Linked DNA regions of Nothobranchius furzeri. The protein of the gene in region 1 interacts with the protein of each later gene in a biochemical or structural test. Links are inferred from orthologs where the notes say so. Each region holds a gene or a part of one and is shown in the gene's direction. Other genes may lie near its edges. The genes, in order: prpf40a and splicing factor U2AF 65 kDa subunit.

What was found.
Region 2: the proteins of prpf40a (region 1) and splicing factor U2AF 65 kDa subunit form a complex in vitro, tested with the Homo sapiens proteins (2 studies listed by BioGRID). The link is inferred for Nothobranchius furzeri from reciprocal best matches to the Homo sapiens genes PRPF40A and U2AF2.

The regions. Positions count from the first base shown.
Region 1 is NC_091754.1:18,353,341-18,357,610, reverse strand, and holds the start of prpf40a (pre-mRNA-processing factor 40 homolog A), read left to right. Parts: upstream 1-1,432; 5' UTR 1,433-1,528; coding exon 1,529-1,531; intron 1,532-2,776; coding exon 2,777-2,857; intron 2,858-2,939; coding exon 2,940-3,080; intron 3,081-3,893; coding exon 3,894-3,977; intron 3,978-4,215; coding exon 4,216-4,234; intron 4,235-4,270.
Region 2 is NC_091745.1:76,211,779-76,215,340, forward strand, and holds the end of splicing factor U2AF 65 kDa subunit, read left to right. Parts: intron 1-283; coding exon 284-387; intron 388-513; coding exon 514-665; intron 666-772; coding exon 773-889; intron 890-1,194; coding exon 1,195-1,351; intron 1,352-1,464; coding exon 1,465-1,544; intron 1,545-1,706; coding exon 1,707-1,829; intron 1,830-1,905; coding exon 1,906-1,992; intron 1,993-2,245; coding exon 2,246-2,494; intron 2,495-2,579; coding exon 2,580-2,714; 3' UTR 2,715-2,764; downstream 2,765-3,562. UniProt on the Homo sapiens protein: Plays a role in pre-mRNA splicing and 3'-end processing. By recruiting PRPF19 and the PRP19C/Prp19 complex/NTC/Nineteen complex to the RNA polymerase II C-terminal domain (CTD), and thereby pre-mRNA, may couple transcription to splicing.

The DNA.
Region 1 (4,270 bases):
AATCTCCCTGAACCGTCTACAGATGGTTCAGAATGCCTGTGCTCGGCTTCTGACCAAGTCCTCCAAACACCACATCACCCTGCTTCTCCTCCAGCGTCACTGGCTGCCAGTCAACTTCAGGGTTCATTTCAAGATCCTGGTTCTGGTCTTTAGGGCCTTACATGGACAAGCACCATCACACATTGGTGATCTTCTCAGTCCCTACACCCCCAGCAGGTCCCTGAGGTCCAGCGACCAAAGCCTACTGGTTGTGCAGCACACCAGGCTAAAGACCAAAGGTGATAGATAATTTGCTGCTGTGGCCCCCAGACTCTGGAACTCTCTCCCCCTGAGCATGAGATCAGTGGACTCCTTTAAAAAGCAGCTGAAAGCCCACCTTTTCAAGCTGGCTTTTGTGTGACCTTTTTCACCACCCTTTCTTTATTTTGCTCTTTTTACTTATTCCACCATTATCTACTTTATCTTGATCTACTGATTTCCCTCTTCCCTATTCACTGTCTCTCTCCCTTTGCTTACATTATTTTTCTTTAATCACAAATGTAATATTTTTTCTCATTTTAAGCATATTATTAATAACTTTTTGATACTTTAATTGATTTTTTTGTTTGTTTGTTTATGTGAAGCACCCTATAGGTTACAATTGTAGGTCACTTTGGATAAAAGCGTCTGCCAAATAAATGAACATATATAGCAGAGGTGTGGACTCAAGTCACATGACTTATTTTAATGCCTTCTGACTTGACTTGATAAAATCTATAAAGACTTACGACTTGACTCGGACTTGAACGCCAATGACTTGCGACTTGAATCAACTTGCATCTGTTGACTTGATGATGACTTGAGCATATTTGATATTTTAGAACAAAAGTGGCACAACATGGACAAAAATCATAAATCATTCTTCGTTCTGGGTTTGATTTTGTACTGCTAATGCAGCAGCACTTTGTTTATAATCAATTTCAGTTGCACTTTCTGCTTGTTTGAGCAAATGTATTAAGCTTTCAGAAGCTTTATTTCTGGAATTTATTTATTATCATTGTCATTAAATTGAAGTTTGACAGATGACTTCATTATGACTTGAAAATTCAAAGATAAGGACTTGGACTTGATTTGGACTTTCACATTATTGACTTTGGTCTCGACTTGGACTTGTCTTTCACTTGAACTTGACTTGAGACTTGACTGGAAAGACATGTGACTTGCAAAGCAGTGACTTGGTCACACCTTTGATATATAGAGATAGAGACTGATAAATAGGGATATAGACAGCCTTAGGCTGGCTTGGTGCCAGATATTTCAAGTTTTTTTATGTATTTATTTAAAAAAATTATTTAATGTTTATTTTATTTTGTGATACTCAAGCGAGCTCGTGTCTTGATTGCGCAGTCTCTTGCAGTGATGCGCATTTTCGACGCAGGATGTCATTAAAGAAGCTCATCATTTGACCTACCTTCGTCACGAGCAGCTTGAACCAATCGCTGTGGTCGTTGCTGAAAGGTGTTCGGATTTAGCAGAGGTCCTCGTCAACATGGTGAGTGTAGCCGCTCTTAAGAAAAGTTCTGGAACAAAGATAATACCGTTTTAAGTTAGCGGTGGTTCGAATGAGATATATATTTTTTTCGTTATAAAATCCGCGTCTTTACTTTTGCTGCGAAGGAGAGCGATGTTTTGCTGTAGACCACGGGTTAGCGTATGTGTTAGCATTGAGTTTAGCCGCATATCATGTCATGGCGTAGTGTATCACCCGGAATAAAAGCTGCAGTGCAAAATCTAAAGTTCAAGCAACACTAGAGATGTTTTGACTTGTTAATGTGTCACTTCATTAGGCACTCTTAACGGTGTTTCTAGCGTGGGGTGTAAACAGGGGCCATTTATTAACTCGTTAAAGTTTTGCCGTTCACCTTTAACAATTTTCCCAGGATTTAGACGAAGCCTGCCAGTGTAGTAATTCTTAATCAAAACTAGCTGCTATCATTGTCAGGACTCCTAACCACCGTTGCAGAAACGGCTGTGTACGTTTAATAATTTAAGATAAGATCGGACTAATTCAATTTACTGTCCGTGTTTATGTCAGTTAACCACATTTAGTGGGAACATTGTTAATTGCAATCCAGTATTTTAGCTGTTCCCACATCTTTGGTGTTGATGGGAAATGTGATGACTCTGTTTTACTTTAAATTCGTGTGTTAGATCATATTTTAGCCATACATAAAATATTAACACATTTTAACAGCAGGGCCGGATGTACAAAATGAATAAAACTGCTGTCAGCAGTCAGAAATTGGATCAAATGAGTTGATGAAGAATAGAATTGACTTTATTAATCCCACATTGGGGAAATTCACTCGTTACAGCAGCGCATACATTGAAAAAAAAAACCAGGGAGAATGAAAAAATTAACAAAGGTACAGGTAAATACACACAGGCAGTGAGCATTTTTTTGTAACCTACCACTAAAAACAGCAACTAAAAAATTGGAACTTTTTTTTAACTATGGTGCAATATCAAAGTTTTAAAGCAGATATTCAAGCCTGTGCGGCAGTTTTTACATAAAGCATTGCAATGGCTGTGGAAAAAAACTGGCTCCCAGAAATGTCCCTGCTGCAACCGAGACCCTAATACTCACTGAAACTTGTTTCTAGTGGCCTCTGACCTTTCAGGCTTCTACATTACAAATTGTGCCATCCTGTCAAAAGTTTGGACTTTTTTTTTTAAAGTAAATGAATGATGCACACACTGCTAATGTTCTACTACATTTGTGGTGTTCTTATTACAGTCTTCATCAGAGAACAGTACTGGCTCGAGTCAGGCAGCGTCTTATCCAGTTGTACCCCCCGCAGCAATACCTCCCCCATATGTAAGTTATGAAAATGTTTACAACAACTGTTATTTATTTATTTATTATTTTCTGACATCTTGTAATGTAATTCCATGACTAGATGGGACCGCCGGGTATGCCTCACTACCCTGCCATGGGAATTCCTCCTATGGCCCAGCGACCACCCAGTATGACCCCATTGCCACCTGGTATAATGCCCCCTGGCATTATGCCACCTATGGCTGCACCACCAATGGGACAGGTAGACTTCTGTTTTTGTTAAAAAATATATTTGGCCTACATATTTGTGCATTTGTAGTTCTTTATCGTTTCTTTGTTCCAACCATTACATGTAAATCAGATTTAATCCATCCATCCATTGTCTGACCTGCTTTGTCCACGTTGGGCCGCGGGGGGGCTGGTGCCTATCTCCAGCGGTCAATGGGCAATCAGGTGGTGTAAACCCTGGACAGAGAGCCAGTCCACCGCAGGGCAACACAGAGACACACAGGACAAACAATCATGCACACACACACTCGCACCTAAGGACAATTTAGATAGACCAATTAACCTAACAGTCATGTTTTTGGACTGTGGGAGGAAGCCGGAGTGCCCGGAGAGAACCCACGCATGCACAGGGAGAACATGCAGACTATCAGATTCAATCAGAAAGTCAAAATATATCAACTCTTAAAATGGTCTGAATACAAAGTTAAGTAACTGGTTGACTAATTACTTCTACAATATTCTCATTCCCCTTTTTATTTTTAATTAAAACCAAATAAGCATTTTTTTTGCTCACTTTGGTAAGTGCATGTGATCATGATACACTGAAAATGTGATTTTTATTTTTATTTTGGGAAAAGGTGTCACCAGTTTGAGAAGTTGAGATGCAGTTTGGTGTCTCTAAGTATTCACACAGCTAAATAAGAGAAGCACTCAGCTCCAGTCCCACCTTTTTCCTCCAAGTTACAACGCAGACACCCGTTCTCACACTGTGTCTTAATACTTGGCACCTTCACTAGTTTGGTTTCAAATGTTGCAGATGAGTGTTTCACAACGCTTCTTTTATTAGATGGCAGGCATGATGCCGCCCATGATGCCGGGGATGATGATCCCACCTCGCATCCCAGCTGCATCTGTACAACCGACGGGGCCGGTAATTTTATCACCATTTTTTCTCCTCTTCTTCTTTTTTTTTTTTCCCTAAAGCAGGGTGTTTGATGCTTCACACGTCTTATAAATAACCTGCAGTCTGTTTGATGCTAACATTTACACGTATAAGTAACTCTTTTATATTTTTTATTTATATTTGTAAAGAAAAACAACCTAATCTGTGAATTTTCTTGTATCTGTCACTGGTAAATCACAAATAAATGTTTTTTTTTTCTCCACAGCCAGGTGTTGACTCCACAGGTAAAAACCACAATAATTTTAACAAATCAATTTTTT
Region 2 (3,562 bases), on another chromosome or scaffold:
TCCAATCAGAGGTGATATGTTCAAATATCAGGAACTAAGAGTCCAAATCCTCCGTCTGAAACTCAACTCTGCTCTGGCTCACTTTGAGTTTCTGAAACTGGAGCTTCAGAGCTTTTTTCCTCAGAGATTAACTCGTTTATACCAGAGACAACAGCAAATGTGTTGCTTAAATGAGTGAATTTGGTCTTAAAATCATTATTTCTTAATATATTTCAGCAAATCACCCTGTATTTAATCAAAACGTGAGTTAAATTTATTTCACTTTTTTCTTTTTGTCAAACAGCCGTTCTCCTCAGCGTGAGAAGAAGAAGAAGATAAAGAAGTACTGGGATGTCCCTCCGCCTGGATTTGAACACATCACTCCCATGCAGTACAAAGCCATGCAGGGTAACAAGTTTGATACATTTATAGTTGGGATGTTATCCATCGCGGTACTGAAACCTCTATGTGATGTAGATATGATGGTAGTGTGGTAAAATGGAAGATTATAACTTTGTGTTTCGTGTTTTTCAGCGGCAGGACAAATTCCAGCCACCGCCCTCCTGCCGACCATGACCCCAGACGGCCTGGCTGTAACCCCCACCCCCGTACCTGTGGTGGGCAGCCAGATGACCCGGCAGGCCCGCCGTCTTTATGTTGGCAACATCCCCTTTGGTATCACAGAGGTGAGAAACAGAAAAGCATATTTCGGTTTGGATAATATCGTTTTAATGACCTTTACTCTTTGTGTGTGTGTGTGCGTGTGCGTGTGTGTGTGTGCGTGTGTGTGTAGGAGTCCATGATGGACTTCTTTAACGCTCAGATGCGTTTAGGTGGTCTTACTCAGGCCCCTGGAAATCCTGTCCTCGCTGTACAGATCAACCAGGACAAGAACTTTGCCTTCCTTGAGGTGAGAAACATCCCGTGATGGTCATTAATGATCCTCAGGAGCAGGGTTAGGGAACCCTGGTCCCGATCCAACACGTTTTAGAGGTTTCCCTGCTTCAACACATCTGATTTTAAACAGCAGGCTATTAACAGGCTTCTGTAGAGGCTGATGAGCTGCTAAACTGGTGAATCCTCTGTGTCGGAGCAGGGAAACCTAAAACGTGTTGGCTGGCGGCTCTCCAGGACCAGGGTTCCCTACTCCTGCTCTGAAGTATTCCTGAACTCTCGTTGGATCTTGTTTGTGTGTTTTTAAATGTTTCTGTTCAGTTTCGTTCAGTGGATGAAACGACACAGGCAATGGCCTTTGATGGCATCATCTTTCAAGGCCAAAGCCTTAAAATCCGTCGTCCGCACGACTACCAGCCACTGCCCGGCATGAGCGAGAACCCCAGTGTCTATGTGCCTGGTACACAGACAATTAATGGTTTTTATCCTTACATTTTGCTACAAGTATACATAAACATTTGATCACTCAATATCCACGTGAGCCTCTTCTCGGGTTCCTCAGACTCGTTCTTGTCCTTGCACATTTTGCAGGAGTGGTGTCCACAGTGGTCCCAGACTCGGCTCACAAGCTCTTTATTGGTGGATTGCCCAATTATCTGAACGATGACCAGGTCGGTGTTGCAGTCTAAGTGCCATCCTGGTGCTTAGCATTCATGTGTGTTTTCTTATTGGTGACATTTTGGTGTTGAAATGAACCGAATGAAATAAAAAGTTGACATTAATCTTGTTTGCTTTAGTTTCCATCTAAACTCGCGTGAACTCTCGTGTTTCAGGTGAAGGAGTTGTTGACGTCGTTTGGCCCTCTGAAGGCCTTTAACCTGGTAAAAGACAGTGCCACAGGCCTATCTAAAGGATATGCCTTCTGTGAATATGTTGATGTCAACCTGAACGATCAGGTAACGGGTCCCAGCAGGTACGTCTGTGGTGGAACCTTTCTGGAAACGGGTCACTGAGCTTTGGCTGTCTGCACAGGCTATCGCTGGACTGAACGGCATGCAGCTCGGAGACAAGAAGCTCCTGGTGCAGAGGGCTAGCGTGGGATCCAAGAACGCCACTCTGGTGAGGCTCCAGCTGCTGGGTGAATGACAGCAGAACGGTGGGAGGCTGGATGTCGGTTCTAAAACGGACCGAGACAGATTGCTGAATAGATCTGCTGCAGCTCCTCGTCTGTTCAGTTCTAACCAGGACAAATATACGTCTTTTCAGCCAAGTCGTGTACTGAATATGAAGCTGTGCGCTTGTGTTTAGGGTGGATCTATGGCGGTATGCAGAAGCCTGAACGTGAAAGTCTTTGTTGTTGTTTTTTCTCCAGACAACTATAAACCAGACCCCGGTGACGCTGCAGGTGCCGGGTTTGAACAGCTCCGTCACTCAGATGGGTGGCCTGCCCACTGAGGTGCTGTGCCTGATGAACATGGTGGCCCCCGAGGAGCTCCTGGACGATGAAGAATATGAGGAGATTGTGGAAGACGTCAGGGAGGAGTGCAGCAAGTACGGCCAAGTGAAAAGCATCGAGATCCCTCGTCCGGTGGACGGCCTGGACATACCTGGGACGGGCAAGGTAGGCAACCTTCAGATTCTGATGTAAAGCGCTTTGATGGATCAGCAAATCATAACCGTGCCTCTTGTTTTCCCTCGCTTCACAGATTTTTGTGGAGTTCACTTCAGTTTTTGATGCCCAGAAGGCCATGCAGGGGCTGACTGGAAGGAAGTTTGCCAACAGGGTGGTGGTAACGAAATACTGCGATCCAGATGCTTATCACCGCCGGGACTTCTGGTAGAGGGGGGACGATGAGAGGGAAAGGGGAGGGAGGGGGGAGGGAGGGAGTGTAGCATGTACTGCCTGTTTCCAAATAGCCCTCGGAGTGATTTTGGCTGAGCAGCATTTCAGGTAGATCTCGGACTGTTAATCGTTTGGCGAACGGCTTTGGTGATGTCCGGTTAATTAAAGGAGATCTACGTGACGTGTTGAGCATTTAGCACCAGTGTGGCAGGGAGGAGGAGAGGAATGGCGTGTGTTTATTTTAAATGTAACACCGGGCTCGGTTTGGGGCGGTAGTCGTGTAGCTGGGTGGGTTGGGATGTGTATGAAATTTGAGAAATGTGTGTAATAACGGGGCCGGGGTGGGTCGAGAATTTTTTTTTTATACTTTGTGAGACATGGATGTTGTTTTTTTGGGTGGGAACAGGGAGCCACGCTTCAAAGGTTTGTATTTAAATGGAGTCGACCTGTTTTAAGTACATTTAGAGAGGATCTGCAGCACGGAGCTACTGGAAAATTCTGATTGAGAAGAGTTGGAAACTAAAAGGAGATGGTGTGATGGGCGTTGTTGTTTGATGATCCAATGTAGATACACAGTAGCTGTAACATCCACTTTGGTTTTGTCACCATCACTAGAAAGGTGTGTGGAGACTCCTCGTGTTCTTGCATCGTGATCAGACCGCTGTCCCTCCAGCACTGTTGTTGTGCGACTAATCTGAACGTCAGCTGTTCTGATTCTGTGTAGCTTCGCCGATTCTCAGCTGCAAAGTCACCCGGTGTTTAAGCTGCAAAGTCACGAGCTACGCAAAGATTTTCAGTTGTTCCTTATTTCTCTTGGTGTAACTTTTCTCACGAGTATTTTTGAGC